Linked DNA regions of Coturnix japonica. The protein of the gene in region 3 purifies or fractionates together with the protein of the main gene of each other region. This does not show direct contact. Links are inferred from orthologs where the notes say so. Each region holds a gene or a part of one and is shown on either strand. Other genes may lie near its edges.

The links.
Region 1: the proteins of SQSTM1 (region 3) and NTRK1 purify together in Homo sapiens (affinity purification with western blotting; 6 studies listed by BioGRID and IntAct, with this or other methods). This does not show direct contact. The link is inferred for Coturnix japonica from reciprocal best matches to the Homo sapiens genes SQSTM1 and NTRK1.
Region 2: the proteins of SQSTM1 (region 3) and EPDR1 purify together in Homo sapiens (affinity purification with mass spectrometry; 3 studies listed by BioGRID and IntAct, with this or other methods). This does not show direct contact. The link is inferred for Coturnix japonica from reciprocal best matches to the Homo sapiens genes SQSTM1 and EPDR1.
Region 4: the proteins of SQSTM1 (region 3) and BAG3 purify together in Homo sapiens (affinity purification with western blotting; 3 studies listed by BioGRID and IntAct, with this or other methods). This does not show direct contact. The link is inferred for Coturnix japonica from reciprocal best matches to the Homo sapiens genes SQSTM1 and BAG3.
Region 5: the proteins of SQSTM1 (region 3) and WDFY3 purify together in Homo sapiens (affinity purification with western blotting; 4 studies listed by BioGRID and IntAct, with this or other methods). This does not show direct contact. The link is inferred for Coturnix japonica from reciprocal best matches to the Homo sapiens genes SQSTM1 and WDFY3.
Region 6: the proteins of SQSTM1 (region 3) and TRIM25 purify together in Homo sapiens (affinity purification with mass spectrometry; 3 studies listed by BioGRID, with this or other methods). This does not show direct contact. The link is inferred for Coturnix japonica from reciprocal best matches to the Homo sapiens genes SQSTM1 and TRIM25.
Region 7: the proteins of SQSTM1 (region 3) and LRRK2 purify together in Homo sapiens (affinity purification with western blotting; 3 studies listed by BioGRID and IntAct, with this or other methods). This does not show direct contact. The link is inferred for Coturnix japonica from reciprocal best matches to the Homo sapiens genes SQSTM1 and LRRK2.

What each region holds. Positions count from the first base shown.
Region 1 is NC_029540.1:688,349-690,825, reverse strand, and holds part of NTRK1 (high affinity nerve growth factor receptor), read right to left. Parts: coding exon 2,367-2,477; intron 2,240-2,366; coding exon 1,910-2,239; intron 1,555-1,909; coding exon 1,496-1,554; intron 1,229-1,495; coding exon 1,126-1,228; intron 825-1,125; coding exon 678-824; intron 583-677; coding exon 452-582; intron 385-451; coding exon 212-384; intron 1-211. UniProt on the Homo sapiens protein: Receptor tyrosine kinase involved in the development and the maturation of the central and peripheral nervous systems through regulation of proliferation, differentiation and survival of sympathetic and nervous neurons.
Region 2 is NC_029517.1:42,215,026-42,219,132, forward strand, and holds the start of EPDR1 (mammalian ependymin-related protein 1), read right to left. Parts: upstream 2,801-4,107; 5' UTR 2,769-2,800; coding exon 2,536-2,768; intron 1-2,535. Other genes in the region: SFRP4 (secreted frizzled-related protein 4), read left to right, coding at 3,634-4,107. UniProt on the Homo sapiens protein: Binds anionic lipids and gangliosides at acidic pH.
Region 3 is NC_029528.1:4,620,861-4,622,893, reverse strand, and holds the end of SQSTM1 (sequestosome-1), read right to left. Parts: coding exon 1,880-2,033; intron 1,628-1,879; coding exon 1,420-1,627; intron 812-1,419; coding exon 654-811; 3' UTR 501-653; downstream 1-500. UniProt on the Homo sapiens protein: Molecular adapter required for selective macroautophagy (aggrephagy) by acting as a bridge between polyubiquitinated proteins and autophagosomes.
Region 4 is NC_029521.1:27,000,255-27,003,754, reverse strand, and holds part of BAG3 (BAG family molecular chaperone regulator 3), read right to left. Parts: intron 2,779-3,500; coding exon 2,425-2,778; intron 395-2,424; coding exon 11-394; intron 1-10. UniProt on the Homo sapiens protein: Co-chaperone and adapter protein that connects different classes of molecular chaperones including heat shock proteins 70 (HSP70s), e.g. HSPA1A/HSP70 or HSPA8/HSC70, and small heat shock proteins (sHSPs), e.g. HSPB8.
Region 5 is NC_029519.1:41,833,713-41,836,377, reverse strand, and holds the end of WDFY3 (WD repeat and FYVE domain-containing protein 3), read right to left. Parts: coding exon 2,525-2,665; intron 1,648-2,524; coding exon 1,536-1,647; intron 1,305-1,535; coding exon 1,107-1,304; intron 622-1,106; coding exon 501-621; downstream 1-500. UniProt on the Homo sapiens protein: Required for selective macroautophagy (aggrephagy). Acts as an adapter protein by linking specific proteins destined for degradation to the core autophagic machinery members, such as the ATG5-ATG12-ATG16L E3-like ligase, SQSTM1 and LC3.
Region 6 is NC_029533.1:7,752,743-7,757,042, reverse strand, and holds the start of TRIM25 (E3 ubiquitin/ISG15 ligase TRIM25), read right to left. Parts: upstream 2,801-4,300; 5' UTR 2,778-2,800; coding exon 2,094-2,777; exon of another isoform or gene 1,578-2,093; coding exon 1,482-1,577; exon of another isoform or gene 991-1,481; coding exon 757-990; exon of another isoform or gene 245-756; coding exon 88-244; exon of another isoform or gene 1-87. Other genes in the region: COIL (coilin), read right to left, coding at 3,642-3,731, 4,150-4,238.
Region 7 is NC_029516.1:13,510,102-13,514,040, forward strand, and holds the start of LRRK2 (leucine-rich repeat serine/threonine-protein kinase 2), read right to left. Parts: upstream 2,801-3,939; 5' UTR 2,605-2,800; coding exon 2,445-2,604; intron 2,366-2,444; coding exon 2,280-2,365; intron 1,388-2,279; exon of another isoform or gene 1-1,387. UniProt on the Homo sapiens protein: Serine/threonine-protein kinase which phosphorylates a broad range of proteins involved in multiple processes such as neuronal plasticity, innate immunity, autophagy, and vesicle trafficking.

The DNA.
Region 1 (2,477 bases), on a different chromosome or scaffold from region 3:
CCTCTGGCAGCCCCCCCGTCTATCAGCAATACCTGGGGGGCCAATCGAAAAGTCTCTGCTTATTCCAGCTGATGGCCAATCTCTCTCTATTTAAGCCTCTCAGACAGCTAATCTAATCAATATTGCAAGGAGGGCTGCATTAGCAGCGAGCGCAGAGCGGCTGTCTGAGCCGCGTTGATGGAGAGGGGAGGGGGCGAGGGGCCGGACCCACCTGAGGAAGTGGTTGAGGTCTCCATGCTTCATGTACTCAAAGACCATGATGAGTGGGTCACCCTCGCCACACACACCATAGAACTTGACGATGTGCTCATGCTGCAGGTTGGTCAGCAGCTCTGCCTCCCGCTGGAAGTCCAGCCGTGCGCTCTCGGTCACCTCCTTTAACGCCTGCAGGCACAAGGCGTTAACATGGCACTGACCAGCCCAGGACCCTCATCCCCCCCAACCCCTTCACCTTCACAGCCACCAATGTCTTCTCCTGCTCTGGAAGGAGGTGGGAACACTCAGCCAGAAAGACTTTCCCAAAGGCTCCCTCGCCCAGCTCCCACTTGAGCACAATGTCACGGCGCTGTACGTGGTGCACACCTGGGGGACCCACATCCATCAGCCCAGAGCCCCCACCGCAGGAGGACAATGGGGAGCAGTGGGGGATGCTGAGGCAGATGCATCCCCAGCCTTACAGGCATTGCAGAAGTACTGTGGGTTCTCAATGAAGTTGCTTTTCAGCCCGTCCAGCTTGCTCTCTGTGGAGGACACGGGGCTGCTGCCCAGGTTCATGAAGTGCAATGACATGGCCAGGTCATCCTCCTGGGCCAGCACGGCTGAGCCTGCAGGGACAGGGGCACATGAATAGGGCCATCACAGAGGGGTGAGGGGTGCTTTGTGCAGCAGTGCCAGGTGCTGCCGAGCATCCCCCCCCCCTCCAGCCCCAGGGGAAGTCAGTGCGATCAAACCCATTTGCAGGCTGAATCCATTCCAGGAGTGAATTAGCAGCTGCTGCCCGCACTGCTTGGCCCCGGAGGAGCCCCATTGCCACCCAGTGCCCAAGGGGGTGCCAGGCAATGGGGACCCATGAGGACCATTGCCCCATGGCTGTGCCCCTACCCGGTGCAGGAAGAGGGGACTCACGGTTAATGCCGAACTTGGAGCGACGCCCGCACTTGTTGAGCGCAATGAGCATGACAGAGAGGAAGAGGGAGGCAAAAACAGCCAAAGCCACAGCCACGGAGACCTGGGGACAAAGGGAATGGTGAGTATGGGGCTGGGGTCCTGCTGCAAAGCCAAGGACAGCACCCTTCTCCAAGCCCTGGAGGTGATTGCAATTCTACTGGGGAAACTGAGGCACAGCGGAGGGCAGGAGGCTGCCTATACCCCATCCCATCCCACCTTGCCTTGCCTCTGGTTTGCTTTCACTTTAAGGACTGCTTTGCTTTCCCACAGGTGTCCTCATGCCCCTTACCCCAAATCACAGGGCACCCCATCCCAGTCAAGTCCTCACCCCAAATGTGTGCTCATCCGCTGTCTCCATAGGGCCCTCCAAAGAGCTGTTCCTGGTACCTGTGTGGGGAGAGGGCACAGGGTGAGCGTGAAGTGGGGGCACATCCTCACTCCTGCACAATCACTGCAGCCTCATCATTGGGCATCACCACAGCTGGGGGTTAATAGCAGGGGTAGCAGCATGCCCCAGCACTCACCCAGTGGAGATATAGACACTGTGCAGCATGGAAAAAGGAAAGAGCACACATTAACCACCTCCCCCCCATAAGAGAGTCCCATGTTTCCTTCCCAATCCTTGGGGAAACTGAGGCACGGGAGGGGGACAGAACCCCTTGGCAAGGTGGGAATAGAAGTTTCGGTGCCTCCTGTGTCAGGATTAGGGCAGCACATCTCCTTCAGCCCCACTGTGACCCACCGGGGATGGGCTCCTCAGGGCTGAAGCTGAAGGGGTTATCCATGAAGCGGCCCTGGATGCTGCGGGTGGCTCTGCCCAGGGGGTTCTGCACCACGAGGGTGTAGTTGCCGTTGTTGACATGTGTGGGGCGGTTGAGCTGGAGGCAGCCGTGCAGCGTGGTGGAGTTGGGCTCATACTCCACAATCCGCGTATGGATGTAGGGCCCCTCAAGCAGAAACGTGCCATTGAAGAGCCAAAAGATGCTGGGTGCTGGGTTGCTGTCCACTGAGAAGGGGATGCACCAGAAGTGCTGAGCGATGGCCTCGTGCAGGAGCAGAATCACCGGTGGGACTGTGGGGACAGAGCTGCCTGTGTCCCCAAACATGCGTCCCCAAATGTGGGACCCCCAAAGCTGACCCTCATACCACCCCTGGCCCCCCAATCCTCCCTCTCTCTCCCCATCCCCTGGGTTGCTTACAGGTGACATTCAGTATCACGCTGTCCTCTGCCAGCCCCGCTGCATTCTCTGCCCGGCATGTGAGGTCCTTGTGGTTCAGGCTAGATGAGATGTTGTTGATCTCCAGGACAA
Region 2 (4,107 bases), on a different chromosome or scaffold from region 3:
TCTGTGTTCAGTGATCATGGTCCACAAAGGGCTGGACAGGAGCAAGGTGCAATTCACACACAGAGGGAAATAACTCTAAACAGGGGACAATAAAGAGTTAAAAATCACTGTATGTTCAACAGGTACCATGACACAGCTCCACCTAAGGGCTTCAGGGAACCATTCCAAGGACACTCATGTCACATTAATGGAAAACTCCGTTGGCATTACCTCTTCAAAGTGGCAATTTCTACTCATTAAAAATCTCCTTCTGTTTTCTTATTTCCTAATATCAGTTGGCTGCTCAACAAAGTGCAAAAAGACTGTCCATGCCCTCCTTGCCCTCAAATTTCATCCTAAAGGCGGAAGATACAGTAGGACAAGGCACACTGGGGAAAGTGTAAGGTGAACAGTGAGATGCAGGGTGTAGTTTAGGCTGGATCTGTAAAAAAAGTTAAAAAGAAAGTTTAGTAATGATTCCTGCTGGAACAGGTTCTCCAAAAACCTCAGCCTCAGATCATAATTGGTAGTTAATTAAGCTCCAAGGAGCAACACACGCAGTCAATAGCACTACCCACAGGAACACCAATAAGCTGAAACAACCATACAATGGCCATTCAGGCCGCCTGAGACCAGATGAGAGAGGACACCCTCTATCTGCTCAGCAATGGGATGCTGGGTACTCAAGAGACAACTGGAGGGCAAAGAAGTGAAGTTAAGGAAGCACTGATGGGCTCTTCATCTTATGGTTACATTTCAAGAGTTTAACCAGAACACAGGGTTGAAGTAGGTATGAAAATGCCGCAAAGCAAATGACATGAATTTGAAACATACATCTACATGGAAAACTGAAGTTTTTAGGTTTTCTGGTGGTTAGGAGCCTGCAAACCACTTGACAGAGGCAAATCTTTGTTTGCCTGATCAACCCCGGTGTCTCCAACAGAGCTGTGTGTGATTGTGGCCCAAATTTCTAAGATTCAGAAAACACTGCATAGATTTTTGGTCTTTGGCCAGTCTTGATTATTGCATCTTGTAGGAGTAAATGTAGCTGTGAGCAGTCATAGTGAAATTTCCCCGGGGACAAAGAAAGCACTATTTTTCTTGATGCTTTTGTAGTCACTGCCTCAGTGTAATTCTCCTTTTCTTGCCAACATCAAAGCAGAGTGGGAGAGAAGTTATTCCTCCAAAGGCAAGATAAATCCTCCCAACTCTAGCTTCTGAAGGCTTTGACTTATGACTCACAGTGTCCGATGTGAACTGAAGCTGTGCTCTCAGCCCTAGATTCAACCCAACACACGCTAAAATCAATGGGAGCCTTTCCACTGACTGAAGGAAGCAGGGTCACACCCTGAGCAGACGAGAGCCACGCTCCTAACAAAACCACCCTCTGCTTTTGGATGGCAGAAAGTGCAGCGGGTCTCAGAATGGTGGGGATGCCTGAGGTCAGGGATTGTCTGCAATGATAAACCAATGCAGGCAAAAATGAGTGGCCAGCACACCTGTCTGCACTGACCCTGTGCTAGCACTATCAGCCCAGACAAAACAGAGTCCAGAGCAAATATTTGTCAAAAACGTAATGACAGCGGATCTTGGCAGAGGTCAAAATCTGGCCCTGAGTGGAAAATGTAAAATAATTAGTCCATCTTCAAATGAAGTCTTCAAATAAAACAAACACAGGCCTAAAGAAATGAGCTCAGTGCAGCTCAGAAGCTAGAAAACACTTGCATCAGGCTTTGCAGAGAAGCTTTATGCTTGTTGAATGCGCAGGTCAACCCAAGACTCCTGAAAGAAGGGGTGCAGAAGTATGGACAGTGTCAGAGTGCATTGTACATCAGCAGAAAAACACTGAATGTGTCATGTTGGTAAGGAATTGATTATAGGCAGGAAGAAGCCAGAAGCAAAACCAAACAGTGATCTTTTCAAGGTTGGATGATACAGCAATTTTGGGTTGCTTTGCACCTTGGCTTATTCCCAAGCTGATGCAGTTATCTGAATAACTTTGGGTGGGAGAGGCAGTGTGGCAGCCCCGTGGGCTGGTACATGTCTGCGTGGTGACTGAGGGACCTGCACACAGGGACTGATTACAGTTTCCGTGGCTCCAGGCTGAGGAGACACAGGCCCTCCTGCAGGCTGCTCCTTCCTGCACTGATCTTCCACCCAACCAAGAAACCAATGCTAACAACAGGGAGGTCCTGCGGGGCCAGGCAGCCTGTGCAGTGTGTGCGAGCACTGAGCACAGGTACCGACTGTATGATCAACCGTGTGCCGCATTCGCGTTTGGAGGAATGGGGAACAGCAGGGAGAAGGTGACTCAAGCTCATTTCTCCTAGCTCTAACGGGAGATTATTTTTCACATCACACCGTGCATTTGGGGCTGGGGGCGCTCAGTACGGCTAAGAGTAGGACGCAGCACTGGGGGCTGCACGCACCCACACACACACGGAGCGCGGCCGCCTCCTGCCAGCCCCTTCCCTCCCTGCCCCCGTGACAAGCCGCCCCCCGCAGCCCCGCCTCCCTCGCCTCGGTGGGACCCCGGCCCCTTCCCCCGCCACCTACTTCTTGCAGGGGATGAGCGCCTTCCTCTCCTCCAAGATGCGGAGGCGCTGGTTGAGGCCGTCGTAAGAGACGGCGGCCCGCGTGTTGCGGCCCGTGCCGTGCTCGTAGCGCACGCTGCGCCCTTCCCACTGCCCCGGCGCCCGGCACGGCTCGGCCCCCGCCCCGCCGCGCAGCAGCAGCAGCCCGCCCAGCAGCAGCAGCGGCAGCGGCAGCCCGCCCGCCGGCAGCGCCATGCTCCGAGCCGCACTGCGAACCGCCGACAGAACGGAGGGGGCGGCTGAGGGAAGGAGGGGCGGGGGCGGCCCGCCCCCAGCACAACCCGCATGGCTTGCGCCGGCAGCGCGCTGCGTGCGCCGTGTGTGCCCTGCACCGCACAGACGCAAAATGTCGCCTCGGGATCCTGCCGGTGGGCACCGTGTATCCCCTCACACACACACACACAACATGTCGCCCGGTGCCGCCAGCGGGGGTTACACGGGCACGGGGGGGTTGCTGCGTGGAGAGAACGGGCTGCTTCCCCACAGGCGCTGTCACAAAGCTCCCACTGCCCTCCCCGGGGCGCTCCGGCCCGCCGGACTCCGTGGGGGAACGTGGGCAGCGGAACGTCCCGCCGGGCTCGGGGCATGGCAGGGCCGGGCCAGGGTTCCCCTGCATGCGCTAAGAGAGGGGCGTATGGAGAAGGGACACACCGAGGGGTTCCCCTTCGCAGTTGGCGACTGCTGAGGGGTTTGTGGCTGAGGAGAACAACGGGCACCGAGCGATCCCCTGCGCGCCCTTCGCCTCCTCCCGTCCGCACCGAAACTTTCCGCTGTGGGACGGCATGAAGGGAGCGCAGGGCTCAGCCCGCAGGGGACGGGAGCGTGTGCGTTTGTTTGGGTCCGCTCCCCCCCCTTCCACGTCCAGGAAGGCGTCGCACGGCTGAGAGGGGCGCGGTGATGTCGGCGGGGATTACGGCGGTGGCGGTGATGTCACGGTGCCGGCCCGCCGCTCACACGCACACACACACGCACACCCCCAGCGGCGCGGCGGGGCTGCCCGGGCAGCAGCTCGGTCCCACGTCACGCGTGCCGCCGATATAAATGCCGTCCCGCGATTTCCATGGCTGTCGGCGCCGCTCCCGACACCGAGTGCGGCCGGACCCAGGGGCGGCGGCGGAGGAGGCGGCTGAGGAAGAGGCGGAGGAGGAGGAGGAGGAGGATGCTGCGCGCCTTGGTGGCCGTGTCCCTGTGGCTGCGGGTGAGCCCGCGGGCGCAGGGCGCGCCGTGCGAGGCGGTGCGCATCCCCATGTGCCGCCCCATGCCCTGGAACATCACCCGTATGCCCAACCACCTCCACCACAGCACGCAGGAGAACGCCGTGCTGGCCATCGAGCAGTACGAGGAGCTGGTGGGCACCGGCTGCAGCCCGGTCCTCCCCTTCTTCCTCTGCGCCATGTACGCTCCCATCTGCACGCTGGAGTTCCTCTACGACCCCATCAAGCCCTGCCGCTCCGTCTGCCAGCGCGCCCGCGACGGCTGCGAGCCCATCATGCGCCGCTACAATCACAGCTGGCCCGACAGCCTGGCCTGCGAC
Region 3 (2,033 bases):
AGCTGTGTCTTGTTGGGAAAGACTGATCCAAGAAGCAAGTGCTATGTTTGCACAGTGGTGTCTAGCAAGTACATTAGAAGTAAGAATGGAAGTAGGTCAGATGGGAGGGAGCAGGGATGCCTCCAAGGCTTTAAGAATATCTTACCAGTACAGTTAAGTTCTGTGATTAATTCCCCACTATAAACTGCAACTCTTTTCCCTTGTTCTAGCTCTTTGTTTGCATCACCCATAGCAACTCTTTCTTTCAAAGCTACGGTGCAGGCTTCAGAGCCAAGCATTTGATTGCTCTTCACAAATGAATAACCCCGAGGTGTCTGCTCAGAGCCCAGGTTATGTGCAAGAAACAGACTGGCACAGAGCTAGCCTTACTTTTACACTGAGAACCACCTGACATAGAAATCATGTGCTCTTGGCCTGGATCTTCTCCTAACTTATAATCAAGTTCCAGTTAACAGAGTAGAACAGTTATGATTATTAAACAGCCACAAACTCATCACCAGTGAAAGAGTGGCAGTATTTATTTTTTTCTCCACACTACAAGCACTTAGGAACATGAAACAGAAACCTGTAACAGAAGATGCATTTGCTAGAGTTAACTGTACCACATAGTTTTCTTTTAGTTAGAAGGAAACTGGTTTTTGTTACATAGGCTACTACAAGTTAGGAGGCTGCTTGGAATACTGGATGGCATCTAGCGCTGCCCCGATGTCACAGTTCTTTGTCTGCAGGAGTCGAGTGAGCCATCCACCCTCGTCAGAGAAGCCCATGGAGAGCATCTGGGACAGAGACTCAATCAAGCGAGGGTCTGCTTCTGTCAAGAGAATGAGTTTGAAGTTAAAACGCTTCACATTATTAGCAAACCAGCCAAGGCTGTGGTATCACATGGTGGGCTGGCACTAATCCTAGCAGATCTAGCATAGCTGACAAGCGCTGGAAGACACTTTCCTCTGTATCCTATGAGGCAGACATTTTGAGATACAGCATATGTAACCTGCTAAGGAAGCAGCTGAGTTAGATCCATCTGTCCTTGCTGTAAACCTCATTGCCAGTGGTTTCAGTTAAGTGACCTGGCAGACTCCTAACTAGCTCTTGCCAGAAAAGTGTCTTAAGTTACAGGATGTATTGTCTACAGCCTGCATTAAAAGGCTCTCCAAGAGTACACAGCAAGGACACTGATTAGAGGCCACCTCTCTCATCCTGCTCAAATGGCATATTAGTACCAGTTTAAGACTTGCTGCCACCATTCAAGCAGAGAACATGCCTGTTCCTAACAGCATGCAGAGTGCTGCCAGAGCACAAGTTACAGTTTAACTTGTCTGTATGTGAGCTTGGTTCCTAAGCAGGTTTGCTTATATTGGACAAGTTGGCAATAAGTGAGAGCAACTTTAACTCACGTGCAACCTGCATGCATTCTCGTACCTGGTGGGAGATGTGGGTAGAGTGCAGCCTCTCTCAGCCCTGTAGGTCCTGCCTGGGGAGCTTCCTGAGCTACATCTAGGGAGCTGGGATCATCTGTCTCTGGCATTTGTAGAGACTGCAGTTCACCTGTGGAAGGATCCACTTCTTTGGAAGACAAGTGGGTCCAGTCCTCGTCACCCCCTGATGAACTGCTTGACTCACTGTGTGCCTGAAATGGAAAGAAAGGAGGTCCAGGTGCCGTAGTGCTTTCCAGGTAGGATGCATGCTCTTACTATCTGCTTTTAATAGGAAGAATTACATTTACAACAAGTCCCACCTTTGCTGTAAACCAGTAAAGCAAAGTGCCATATATTCTCTATCTGCTGACAACTGAATCATCAGTCCCTCAACACATACTGAATTATTTCCTTTTCAGTAAGGCCTCAGCAAGCGTATTAAATTAATGCAGTGTTTCTTGTACCTGGGACTGGAGGCTGCCATCTTCCATTTGTGTGGGCACAGGATCTATCACCATGTCTTGTATCTGCTCTGTAACATTGTTTACTACCGTTGCAGAATCTGTGCTATTCCAGCATGGTTTGCTCTGACTGTTCTGATTAGCAGTACTGCTGCTT
Region 4 (3,500 bases), on a different chromosome or scaffold from region 3:
CTCTACATACCTGAGGTCTGTCTACGACCGTCTGTACTGTGATGGGAGTCGAGGGCTGTACCTGCTGGGTGATAATTCTGGCAGGTGAACTCTCACGACTTGATGCCCCTCTCTGAGTGGCTCTGAATGGAGACTGTGCTCGTGCTGTCTTAGGCTCCCTGTCATCTGGTTGAATTCTGGGAAATACAGGTTGGTGGGCTTGGAATTCACTCTGCTGGGCAGGGTAGTGTGTCTTCTGGGCCTGATGGTAGCCTTGCGGTGGTTGCCTTTGGATATTTTCATGGATCACAGGAATTGAAATATAGCCACGGGGAAGCTGATGGCTTCCTGAATTGGATCTGCCAGATGACTGAGGTGGAACCGTTTGAGAATCAGAAGCTCCAGGAGACTGAGGCTGCCATGAAAACAAAATCCATTATTAAATCAGCTGTTTCAGCTCATAGCACTTTTCATTTTCAAAGAGAAATGGAAACTGAATTTGTGTTCCCACATACAAAAGATCTACGTCCTTGGTTTGGGTTTGTGTTGGTTTGTGTTCTATTTTTTTTTGCCTTGCTAGACAAACCACAGAAGTTGTGAGAGAGCATCATTATAACAAGTAATAACCTGAGCTACAGCATTCCCAGCCCTCAAGTAAGCAGGGAGTGGATGCTCACTCAGAATGTTTTCTGTTTTTACATGGCTACTCCTGTCTAAACCTGTTAAATGTGAGGCAAACTAAAGTTAAGCAAACAAATTATGTACTGCAGACAAAAAACAAACTACTCAGAGGCACACAAAGTTCAGACTTCTGATCCCACTCATGCTAACAGATTTATTTACTTCTTTAAGCATGTAATTTAGTGCACTGCCAAAGCCTGCTATGTGTGGCTAATGCCCCTTGACCCCTCACGAGACCTTCCAGCACATCAGCCCTGTTGGCACCAGGAGTGATAGCTGCACTAGTGTAGATTTGCTGTAAGCAGGAGCAAGTGCTGGGGATACACCACAATTCAGCTTCTGGTATTTCAGGTTATGGTTCCACAGCATCTGGGGAAAGGCAGTTTATTTGCTCACAGCTCACTCCTTCTCTACTCCTGCTGTGCCAGTCCATCAACTCACCTACTATGGACTATTCTCTATACTTTAACCCATGAAGGAGAGGAAAAATTATTTCCTGACAGGTTTATTGATATCTCAGTGACAGGCCAGGTAAGACTGGAGTTAGCACAGGAGGGAGAGCAGGACAATGTAGCTGGAAGCAACAAGTAGGCAGGCAAGGTGAGAAAGGATAGGGAACAAGATGTCTTTTGTGCTAGTTAATGCTCACCTCTGCAGCTCAGCAGCTATAAATAAATGCTACTTTTTCTACAGGCACCAGCACTGCTGTGTCAGTGCCCTGGTCAGTTAGTGCCCATGCCACCTAAGTTTGTGATGGCAGCTTCTCCAGTCCTCAGCAGTTATCTCAGAGCACATGAGATGGAGAAGACTTTTCTGAAGCAATTCTGCATGTAATACAAAAGTATATTCCCAGCTGCATTAAGTTGAGAGAAGGAAGAACTAAGCCTCCCATCCTTGCACTTCATGGATAAAGCAGCAACAACTGAGGAAAACTGCGAACAGGATTTTAATTGTCTTGTTCAGACACAAAAACAGGTTTTAGAAAAATATCTGCCACTGCCGACATGAAAAATTCCCCATGTGTTTTCATGCTGATAGAGGCTCGATTTCCTGCTTATTTTACTTGGAACAGAAGTGAGATTAGTGCTTCAGCCTATTACAAGAATACTGCTCCTGCTAATTCTGAGGAGATAACAGACAAACCAAAATCCTGCCTTTTGAAAAGCAAAGCAAGGAGGGTGACTCTTTTTAAAGCAGTTCATGTATTATAACATACTACAAAATAACAACAAAAATATTTCCGAATTCACTTCTAAATCTGTGTATGCAGATCTATACAATTAATAAAACCAGAGTATTAAACTGGAAAGCAGAATAGCCCTGTTTCTGAAACAGCCTAAGCTGTCAGCTAATGGGACACTTGTATTTTGTGTCTCTCCCCTTGCTCACCTGTTTCCCACATAGGGAATGCAAGAGATCTGCCTGCATTCCCAGCTTGCAGAGTAACCACTCTAAACCCTACAACAGCCCTCACCTGCCGCAGGAGCACCTGCACCATTCACAGGCTTTTTTATAGAGAAAATTTTCACAGGCTTGTTTCTGTGCAAATCACTTGATAACAAAAGCTGTCAATGCCGGAAAAATGTGAAACACTTCTGCTGAAGTGACTGAGCACTTTTGTATTTCAACACTGTGGAAGTATTGGGAAAATGTAATCCTGTGGCAGGTTTGGCTTTCCAAAGGATAAAGTACTCGTGTGACAGTCAGGTCATACATGGCCGCAGAGACCAAGGCACACACACCCCAGCAGTACTGCCGAGTTACCTCAGGTCCGTGTGTCGCTGGAGCTGGGGCTGCTGCAGCTGCTGTTGTCTGTCCACATTGTTTATCTGCCTGGGAAGCCTCAGCCGGCCCCCTATGAGGGGACTCAGGGCTGGCATAGGCCCCCCTCAGTGGTGGCTGTGCCTGCGCTGTGGTGGGCACGGCTTCTGCTTTGTACCGCTGTACGCCGGGCTGTGGAGCAGCAAAGTATGGGTGCTGTCTGCTGTCGATGCCCTCGTGGATGACTGGGATGGGGATGTAGCCAGCCCGGAGCTTGGGGTACACCACGTTTCCTTCCCGTGCTGGCATCTGCCTGGGACTATCTTGAGATGGGCCATTTGCTGACGACTGGCCATCCTAGAAATTAAAAACATCACATAGCATTTGTTGGTAGCTCAGCTCAACATACCACGTAAGAAAGCAGCCATAAAGGTCTGTCTAAAAGAAGCGTCAGCCAGGCATGAGAAGCTCAGCTCCTCAGGTCTGTGCAAGGTCAGCAGGCAGGAGAAAGGAAGCTGAACACCAATTAGGTATGAGCCTTTCACCCTCAGTGCTGATAAATGCTAACTGAGGCACTAAAATACCACATTACAACAGGGATTTTCTGTAGCGCTCACTACCTGCATACAGCCATGAGTCCAGCTGCCTCACCTGGTACCATGCTAATTAAATGAGAGCTTCAGGGACCACAGATGTTTCCTTAACACCCCTTCAAATCCACCCAGCGTTATAGATAACAGCAGAAAAGAAACTTAGAAGATTTATCTCATCATAGAGCAGTATTTGTTGGTATTGTGCTTCCTACTGCCTATCTAGAGTTACTGCTGCTTCATTCTGAAGAAGATACTCACAGCCAAGAGAGGATCCACTTCAGCAGATTCCAACAGGATAACATAATGAAGAGGAAAATGCTGGAAGGTTAGATAATATTAATTCCTGTGCTGGCCAACTGCACTCACTGGACAATGTCAAAGCTCTGGCAAGGGGGAAAGTGCTTTGTACCAAGATCCCTCCCAAGTCCTCTATTAAGTTCTTCCTGCATCGGTCATTCTATTTTGAGGCCCAGCTAGGGCCAAGTT
Region 5 (2,665 bases), on a different chromosome or scaffold from region 3:
GTCCCATGTAACAGGCAGTTAGGTTCATATTTAGATAAAAAGGCCATTATACCTATTTACAATATACACAGTTGCTTGCGAAGAAGGCAGATTTACAACTATCTTCTAAAAAGCCTTCCCTTCCCTCCCACCCCCCCACCCCAGTACAGATGACTAGCTCTACAAAAACAAGACAAGAACTGGTGTTTAGGATAAGTGAGGGTTTTCTTCATAGCCATGTCAACAGCGAGATAGGGGTTGACAGTTCTACTGTATCTGTAGTTATTAACCATGTCTTCCTGGGCCTTGCTCTTCACTTCAATGTGCCGCTCATCTCATCACACACCTTCCATCAACACAAATCAATTCAATGATCCCTTATTCTTTCAGTGCTTAAAATGCAGTATAAACTTAAGTGTAAACAGACAGTATTCTACTCCCTTCTGATCGCAGCACAATGCTCACATTAGTTCTCAGGGTGACAGCAGGACTGTACAGGGTCTCCATTTACCACCATCTTGTCAATTCCTGGGCCCTTCCTCTAAGCCCCGCTCATGCTGCAAGTTGTAGAAACAGTTCTGGCAGACTCTGACCGGTGACGAAATCTTCAGACGTTTGATTTCAGACTGAAACCGACTGCACCTAAAGAGGAAAACACCACCGTGAACACTTGTCCTCCCACAGCCTCACTATTTTCTTCCCAGATGTGGAAATTATCATTGTGACTTCAAACACTTCAACACCATCCAAACAAATTTTGACAGACCGTGTTATGTTTGTAGACTGATAAGATAAACTACTTGCTGAAAAATAAATATATTCTCCTTTGCTATGTTAATTTGTCTATAATTCATTTCTTGATTTCAACCTCAGTTGACACCTATGTTAAGCTGACAGCTTCACTGTTTATATAAAGGAGCGTGTCTGCTTTTTCCAACTCTCCCCTGGAAATTTTTACAGCACTGATGGTTTGGTTTCTTTTTGTTTGGTTGGTTTTTTTTGTTTTTTTAATCAGTTCTGTTTTGATAAGGGAGAGGAAATCTCAGTCTGTTTGTAGGGATCAGTGGTATGCAATAGCCTGAATTTCTCTATGGGAAAGAACGTAAAGGAGGCTGGTGCTAGCTTACTTCTGACAGAAGAGCTGCCCACAGTTCCTGCAGTGGTGACGCCTCTCTGTGAGCGAGAATCGGACTGCACAACCTGAGCAGCTGTCTCCTCCCTCGTCCTTCACCCAGTGGTCGGCTGCTGACCGGCCCGGCTGATCACTCACAGACCAGCTGAACACTCGGCCACGGCCATCCCCAATGAGAATTCTGCTGTGATCCCTGTAGGAAAAAAGTAAAAGCATTCTCCTGACAATTCTGGCCCAGTAAGGCAGAGACAGCAATGGCTGATTTTAGATGTCAGAATATTTAATAATGTTTTTATGACCAAGATACCAGCCTGTTCTCTAAACAAAAAAAGCGAACACAAAACAGCATTATGCGAAGAACTGTGTCTGCATCCTTTGACAACACTGAAAAAATGCACTGTGTGATCACCTGTGAGCTACTCACTTGGAGATGCCGAGTGCGGTGATTTCTGCTGGATGTGCGTTATCTTTGCGATCAAATGCTGTGTGCATAGTTAGTTTGCTCCTAAACACCAACTGACGCTCCCATCGGTATCCTAGAAGAGCACAGGAAGGAGAGAAGGGAAAAAACAAATCTGCTCATTCTCATTTCTAAATCCTCCTCCCTCCCCAAAATACCCATGTGCATCCATTTGTTGAAAGGAAACATCTTAATCTCTCCAGATGCTGATAACTCTCAGAGACTCACTTCCCATTCAGGGAAAATACACTCTCAACTGCTCTCCAACGCATCCAATGAAGGAAAAAATGCAATGCAAAGCAGAGAGTCCTGCATTTCACCAAATGCATCTGACATGCAGAGAACACTGACAAACAGAGTGGAGTTGGCACTGAATATCAGCAGGTATTCTCTTCCTCACCCACCAGTAAGTAGGCTGAAGGTGTGCAAGAAACTCAGAAGTAACACAATCTGGACAGCTGACCTCAACTGACCAAAGTACATTCCATGTCATATACAGCATCATACTCAGCAACCAAACTGAAGGAAGGGCACTTTCTGATTAAGGAAGCTGTTCACTCCAAAACTGGCTGCACAACAGTCTGCTGGCAGGAGGTGGTGAGAGCCTTTGCATCACTTGTTTTTAGCTTTTATCTTCCTCTTTAGTTTGCTTAGTAGACTACCCTTAGCTCGACCTTTGAGTTTTTGTGCTTTTGTCCTTTTGCTCTTCCTATTCTCTCCTCCCATCCCATTGCAGCAACAGTGAGCGAGCAGATTAGCTGCCAGCAGGGTAAACCCATCATCATTTCTCAGGAAAAACTCAAACAATGTGCAACACCTCAACACAGAAGCTTCTCACCAATGGCTTTTGAATTTATCAGCCATCACTCCTCAAAGCTGCAGAGATAATGCCTTCTGGGTCAGTGCTAACAGCAAATTTATCCAGCCAAGGAAGCGTACTCAACTTCTTTTACCTGGTTTAAGCTTGCTGTAGTGCCGTGCTTCAGCATAGCTGGGGTGCAGGTGGTTAACCTGAGCATGGGGGTGTATTTTTGCTTGTCCTTCAGAATAATTCACAAAGATAAAGCCATCTTTCTCATCCAAGCTGAGCTGGT
Region 6 (4,300 bases), on a different chromosome or scaffold from region 3:
TTTTTATGTTTGGATTGGAGGGGGAATCTCTCTCATTTGAGCTCAAAGCTGAGGCATAAAACGCCGGTTCCCACAGTGATACAATACCATCCGTTCTTTTATCCACAGACGCATTCACTGCAAGTTTGACAGCATCTTTAAGGTTAATGGCAGACTGATAAGCAGCGTGTATCATGTTGTGGTCCATTTCTATTACTGGGACAAAGGCCTCTTTTATTGATGTTCGTTGCAGCGCTGCTGCTCTCTGAAATGAGAAACGGAAAATCTCATGCAGACCATCTTGTGTGAGAAATACAAGCAGGTGACCTTAAATGGGCTGAGTTTTGGGCATTTATCTCAAATGCAAAAGAGCACAGGTGACAATCAGGCAAAGCCGTGGCACAATTTCAGCAGCAGCTCAGCAGCACATAAGCGTTACTTCCTGATACCTGGAGCAATAAGAAAGCTCTGCCTCGCAGCACAGAGATGTAACTCCTCCTCATGGAGACGAGTTCTCTCCCTCAGTGGCCTTTCTGCACACAGCAGAAATAGTGGCAGAACTGGGGAGAGGTGGAATCGCAGACAGCACTTTGTTCCAGTGCTCTTTCACTCGTGTTTGTGTATTTATCAGTACATCTTGTTATAGGAGGTTCTTGCATGTGACTGCTTTATCATTTGACTAAAAGGATTTGGAAAGCAGGACGACCAGGGCAGTTCTTTATGAATCTATATTCTAAAACCCCAAAGAATCAGATTTGAACCTAAAGGACACGTTACCTTTAAAAAGAGAACGTCATCCCCTTCGGTCAGTGCCATCTCAATCTGGTCTCTCAGAGACTGAATTTCATTCTTCTTACTTCCCAGAATTTTATATATGTAATCGAACTTATTGCAAACTCTTTTTTCTTCTTCCATAACTACTTTTAGGGTCTGGTTTTCTTTTTCTTCAATTAAAGCTTTAATTTCCATAAACTCAGCTCTCAGCAGATCCCGCTTTCTGGCAGCTGTCTCCTGGAGCAGACACAAAAAGGCAGAAACTGGCTTCAAACCAAGTTAGGGGGAAAGCGCTGCTACTGTGGGCATGTAAACTCCAATTACTCACAACTGGCAATAGAAAAGCTCTCAGCACACACACCAACCCCGGCCATCAGGTGAGAGCAGGGCTGAGCTGTGCTCACTTGTGGAAAAGAGCTCTCCCACATTTCTGCTGTAGTGCAGCCGTTGCTACTCACTGCTGCTTTAGGTTGGGCTGCACAGATGCACAATCTGTGCTGCAGTGGGAATGGATGGGTTCATCTCAGTTACTCCCGTGTGGGTGCGAACCACCCCTGTAAGGAGGCTGTGTTTGTTCCCATCCTTAGGGAGCTGCCAAAACGGCTCTTTTCTGATCCTTCTCAGTGAGATTTCTTCCTGACAAGGCAGTTTCAGTACAAGGACTGCCACAAGAGCACAAACAACATTCAGGAGCCAGCACACACCAAGCAAACAGCGCTGTAACTTACAGCAGCTTGACTCTGGATTGTTTTCACAGAGTTCATTGCTTGCACGGATCTTTCACTCTGGTTGTGCAGCTCCACCAGCCTCTTCTTCAGTGCAGCCTGCAAAAGAGGAGAGCAGAGAGCAGCTTAGAAAAGGCGTTGCCATGCTGTCAGTCGGGTCATGGTTACTGGAGTAAGAATCACAGTAGGGAGTTGTTGATAACCACTGTAAGCATTCAGTACCACCCGTTTAAAACCCATTGCTCCTTTAGCAGTGCTGTCGTGCACGCACACAGTTTGTGGGGTCAGCACCCCCATAGCCACACCTTTCCAAAAGCAAGATGGGCGTCCTTGAGTCACTGCTGATAAGGAGAACTCTTTCATCAGCGGAGCAGCTCCCAGCGCTGCAAATAAACTTTGCTTTAGCTCTTAGCCTGGACTTCGGGCACTGGGTAAATACTGCTGTTCACCCCTCGTTGTGACAGAGGATTTTTGTTCTCAGATATGATTGGATCGCATCTGAGGAATGCTGCTAAGCGAAGTCAGAGGGGCTGTCTTAAGTTAATCCCGGTATCTGGGCAGATCGCCCCAGGGAGTGTCTGCAGGGAGCTCAGCTCGGGGCTGCCCCGTTCTCACCTCGGTTTTATCTTTGGCCTCCTGCAGCGTGCTGGTGTGGCACGGCTTGTGGCTCAGCAGGCACAGCGAGCAGATGCAGCAGCCGTGCTGGCTGCAGAAGAACTCAAAGAGCTTGTTGTGCTGCGGGCACTTTCTCTGCTGCAGGTCCCGCACGGGCGGGCACAGCCGATGGTCGCGGAACGCCGGGCTGTCGTGGTGCGGCCGCAGGTGCTCGGGGCAGAAGGAAGCCATGCAGGTGAGGCAGGTCTGCGTGGCGGCCGCCTGCAGGCAGCTGTCGCAGTAGATGAGGGTCGCCGCCTCCCGTTCTTCCTCCTCGCTCTCATCGTCCTCCTTGCCGTCCCCGGTCCCGCTGCCCCGCATCTGCTCCACCACCCGGCACAGCACCGTGTTCTTGCGGAGCTGCGGGCGGCTCGGGAAGGTGGCGCGGCATTGAGGGCAGCTCAAGTCCCGCACCTGGCCGGCCCAGGTGAGCTCCAGGCAGGAGGCGCAGAAGTTGTGTCCGCAGGGCACCGTCACGGGGACGTTGAAGATGCAGAGGCAGATGGAGCACGTCAGCTCCTCCTCCAGCTCCAACAGGTTCGGCTCCGACTTAGTTCTGCTCATCGACGCCATTATCCCGCTGCTGCCTCCAGACCCCGAGGAAACGAAACTGGGGCTGCGGATTTCCGTAAAATTACGAACCATCTCCCCGCCTCGAGGGGCGCGGCGGGTCCGCCCCGGGTTGAGCCCAGCGGGGGCGGCGGACGGGGCGGGACGGGCAGGCGGGGAAGCAGCGCGGGTTGCGGTGTCCCGGGGAGCTGCGATCCGTGCGGGCGCTGGAGCGGACCGAGCCGGCGAAGTACGTGTGTGCGGTTTTCTTGCGTTGTTCTGAGCAAAGGCAGCACTGACACTTCAACACTGAAAGGGCAAAAGGGTTCGGCTGTAAAGGTTTCAGAGCACACTCGGCTGAACACGCTGGGACACCGTTTTGTCTGGGTTCGTTTGTATTGTGCTGGTTCTAGGCTGAGTTCTGTCACCAACACTGTTTATCCTCCTCTCTAAATTACAGAAGCATAAAATCCTTAAACTTTTCTTGATGTTTTCAGGTGAACCCTGTATAGAACTGTAAGGTCTGGCCATTCATGTCATGCTCTGCAGTAAAGAACCATGGACGTCAATATATTTTTCTTTCAATGCTGGATTTTAATGATCCTTACAACAAGTTCTGTATAGCAGTTACGCTGCTCTAGACAAAACAGGACACAGCAGCAGAGCCACAAACACAGCACAAGGTCATCATTTATATTTTCTATCAAACTATTCCAGTTTTGCCACTCACAAAAGTAGAATATAAAAACTAAGATTCTATTAAAAAAAATAAATCAAACCTACATTAAATCTATAACAAACAAAGCATTCTTGGATTAACACAAAACCATCTCTTAAGAAAACAGTGTTTATTTTAAAACCATTTATGGAAAATAACCAGCAGCGCATTTGCTGCCCTCAGAACTGGACGGCAGCATCTCATGAAACAAGTCCACACAAGGATTTACTCGTGTTCACATCTCAGACTGCTCCGTTTTCAGTGCCTGATCCATTCATTGGAGGCTCAACGATCAATCTGGGCTCAATCAGCGAATCCCAACTCTCAGTTATCTGGAAGCAAAATCCAACATTAGCGCGTACAAGGTGTACAGGCAGGTGCAATTTCTTCTGCATCACAAGTTGTTTGGATGTGAACAGCAGCAGCACAGAACAAAGGTCACAGATCATTGCTCCAATTCAGTGATCTTCATCAGCCTTAACCTGCTGATGTGCAGGTAGGAAAACCAGAACCTCATGGAGGTTCGTGGAGCCAAAAAGTTACACAAAGTGGTGACTTTCTGAGTCTAATTAACTGAAATAATACGCAAGAGTTTATTATCTCATGATAATTCCCATTCTTGTTAGAAAGGATTATTTTTGCTTTCATTTACTTTAATGAAACGCTCCATTATAAAAGGACAGCATTGTAAAGCAGGGAAACGTGTCAGCACAACCACGCGGCAGCCTTCAGAACAAGGCAGGCACGTACCTTTGTGTCCTGAGGCACAGCGTATTCTATCAGCTCGGCCCCATCTGCAGACTGATAAACCAGATCAAACTTCCCTGGTTCTTTAGCAACTTTTGAAAACACAGCAAAAAAACCCACTTAGTTAGTATAAACAGACAGGAAAATGTTTACA
Region 7 (3,939 bases), on a different chromosome or scaffold from region 3:
ACCACTTTCTGCCATAGGAACTGCTAAACTTAGAACCCAATGAAAATTAGCACAGTGACTTTACAGAAGTAACTTTTGTACTAAAATGGACTGTAATATTGATGTTTCTATTGATCGCTTTTACTTGCATTATTGTGACTCCAAGTGTGCCAAACATTCGTAAGGACTGTGTAGTCAGGGAAGTCAGAAGCAAACATGTGACCCAATGATATGTGGTCAGTTTTACAATATTAAAATCACAGTCTGAGATAACAAAGAGCTCATTATCAATTTACAGTTCCATAAGCAAGCAGAGATTTTTTAAATAACAGAAACACTAAAGGTTACAGGGGACAGAAAAAAGCACAGAACACAAAGATATTCTTAAAAGCATCTGAGCTTTTAAGACACAGACAGCTGATAGCAGCACTGAAACTCTTGTTATTTTTAAATTGAGTCCTTTTCATTTCTAGCATGCAATGAATTGATATGACATTAGCTCACACCCTTCTGTGTGACACAATAAAGCTCTGCTGGCTGCTCTTTCCTCAAGTGTGTACAAATTCCGCTCCACAGTTTCTAACCCACTCCAGTCAGCGTCAACCAGGAATTGCATAAAGAAGCTGCCACGTTCACTTAAAAGATGTCTATTTTACTTCATGGTGGTATTGACCTTATAGCTCAGTCTCTTTCTACTTATAAAGGAGCAGTAAGGCTTATGCCCATAGCCTGACTTGCACTGACACCTGAAATATTGAGCTGTTAAGCAAATTGACTCTGTACAAGCTGGTGGAACAGCAACAGCACACAGTGCTTTGCAATTGGTGAGTATGGGATGGCAAAGAAAATCCTCATTTCAGATACAGCTCTCACTGTGCTTACTCTGTTATGTGAGTCACTTTTATCGCAATGCCAAAAGGGTCAATCAATTTATTCAATGAAAACTCATTAGCAGTATGAAGAGACTACAACGAAATTGGGGCCACGTCCTCTTGCTGCTGCCATAAGATTTTGTATTCACAAAGGTTGCAATGGGTGCAGCAAGGAAAGCAGCCCTGCTGAGACACTGTGGGTGTTTGCAAATACTATAATAGAACATGAAGAAAGAGCTGCCCATGGCATTTTGTGCAGATTGGAGCTCTGCGCTGCCTCTGAGCTTTGTTTTGATGCCTTAGTACAATGGAGTAATGCAAAGAAGTCATTTTAAAGCTCTGCACCAAATCAAAGTTGAGATTTATACCACTATTAAAATGAGAACTAAATGATCTTTCTAATGGAATTCTTAAGAGCCTCATGCCACCCTCTCAGATCTGCTCCTGGCTGTGCTTCAATCTCATGCTTTTCACTTCCTTGCCTGAACTCCTCAGCAGCGGTTTTGTAAATTGTGACATATCTAATATGCTTCATCCTGAAAAACAAAGTAATATTACTGCTTTATCCTTCTTTATTTCCCAGCAACCTGACAGAGAACCTTTCATATTTTAATCTGAATTTTATGCTCTGATCACTAGCTAAAGTCTATGAAGTTAAAAAAAAAAACCCAACAACTTACACAACAGTATTATTTAAGAGGCATATGCAGCATGATTTGTTTTGTGGACTGGGAACAAGTAAAGGATGCCAGAAATCTTGTAACCATACCAATGTATTTAATACACAAAGAGAGTGAGTTGCACACATCTGGAGTCTGTAAATGCTCTCTGGGCACAGTACAGTCAGGAGCTCAATACATGCCTACACTTCATGGGGTGGGCCCAGCAGCAGCACCAAGATGGTCAAGTGGCACCCCTTGTTTACATGGGACACCATTTGTAGGGGCAGCCAAGCAGAAGCAGAAGCTGATCAGATGGCTGCAACACCTCTCCTGTGGACTGGCTGGGGGAGCTGGGGCTGTTCAACCTGGAGATGGCTCTGGGGGACACCTCACTGTGACCTTCCAGTACTTAATGGGAGCTTATCAACAAGAAGAGGAACAACTTTCTACAGGAGGGACAAGGAGAAGGTGGCTTTAAATCAAATGAGGGGAGATGTAAATTAGATGTTAGGAAGAAATGCTTTACTCAGAGGGCTGTGAGGCCCTGGCACAGCTGCCCATAGAGCTGTGGGTGCTCAAGGCCGGGTTGGATGGGGCCCTGGGCAGCCTGAGCTGGTGGGGGGCAGCCAGCCCACGGCAATGAGTGGGGCTGGAGGCTTTGAGGTCCTTTCCAACCCAATCCATTCAACGTCTCCACGATCAGCCCGTGAAGCGCCCGCAGACCCTGCAGACCCCGCCGCCCTCACAGCGCTCCTCGCTCCGTTACCTGCTGCACGCCGGCCGCTCCCGCGTACAGGTCGAGCACCAGCAGCAGGGGCACGTGGGCGTTGCAGCCTCCGAACAGCCGCGGAGCTACGGGGACACGGAGAAGCCGCGTTAGGGCCGGGCGGAGCGGGGTCGGGAGGGCAGGCGGGCGGCGGCCGCCCCTTACCGCTCTGCCGGGCCGCCAACTCCAGCATGTCGCTCAGCGTCTGCACCACAGTCTCCGGCCGCTTCCTCTCCTGGACGTTGCGGAGCCGGACGAGCAGCTTCCTCAGCGCCTCCTCCTCTCCGGCCGCCGCCGCTCGTTCCCAGGGGCAGCCGCTGGCCATGGCCGCGTCGTCGTCCCCCCGCGACGGGCTCCTCACCCCATCAGACGCGGCCCGTGGGGACGGAGAGCCAACGACGCGGGCCCGTCCCGCCGCTCGGCGTCACCCGGCCTCACCCGGCTATTTCGGGCCGCCCCTCCCCGCGCTCCGGGTGCACGGCTACGGCCAAACCCCGCGGGTGGGAGGGAGGTGAGGAGGGAGCAGCGCTGCCGCCATTAGGGGGCTCCCTCGAGGGCCCGCACGCTGGAGGCCAGCTCTTTTTCAGTGATTGACAACACGAGAGTCCAATAGCTGCTGGCTGAGGGTCGTGTGAGGGTTGGGTAGTTGGTGCAAACGTTGGCAAGAGCTTCTTCTTGGCACAGTCTGCATGGAGAGCTTGTGTTATCCTTGTGTTGTCCTTATCTGGAGATTTCAAAGCCCACCTGGATGCTTTCCTGTGCAGCTTGCTGTAGGGAACCTGCTTTAGGAGGGGCTTGAACTCAATGATTTCTAGAGGTCTCTTCCAACCCTTGAAGTTCAGTGATTCTTAGTGGAAGCTGGGGCAGGAGCTGTGACCTTTCCTGAAGCTGAGGCAGCTGAGGTGATGCAGAGGGCCTGGAGGAGCAGGTTAACCTTGGCCAAGGAAGGCATGTGCTTGCAAGTGTTTTGGCCCCATGGGCTTGGTTAGGTCTGTGGGTTTGCTTGAAAGAAACCTTTGTTGCCTGTAGAAGTAAAATTTCACTCTAAGCTGTGCAGTGAGAGTTTGCTGTTGTGAGATAAGGAGGTTCTCCTGCCCTGAGCGTGCATTGCTTCACTTGTGGTTGATGCAATCTTCCTGTAATCTGGCAATGCTTCCGGCACCTCAGCCCCTTTCCTGAGGGAAAGTATGTGGGCAGCAGCACCTTTGTAAACAACCTTCAGAAGAGCAGTACAAGTGGTGTGTGTTACATAGAGGAGTTGTATGCGCTTTGAGTATTAATTAAGGGAATAATTAAATTGTGAAATTGGAAGTACAGTTTGGCAGTTCATGATAGGAGTATGGATTTGCTTGAAGCTTGTGCTCAGGTTATGGTGTTTGATTGATAGAAAAGCGTGATTGAACAGCTGATTTACAGGTCATTAGTTTCTCAAAATAAGCTCTAAGCGACTGTGTTTGCTGATGCCTCTGAACACTCTTGATACTGGTGGATTGGTCCTGAAAGGCTCAGACATTGCTGCTCTCATCATCTGCACAAAGAAACTATTGTCTCGGCATCCCAATTACAGTCTGCTAATTAGGGCTCAGTTTGTTGAGTTATGTGCTGGTAGTATCTCCCTCTCTAAAGCACTGGGAGACAAAATGTGAGGCAGCCTTATGAA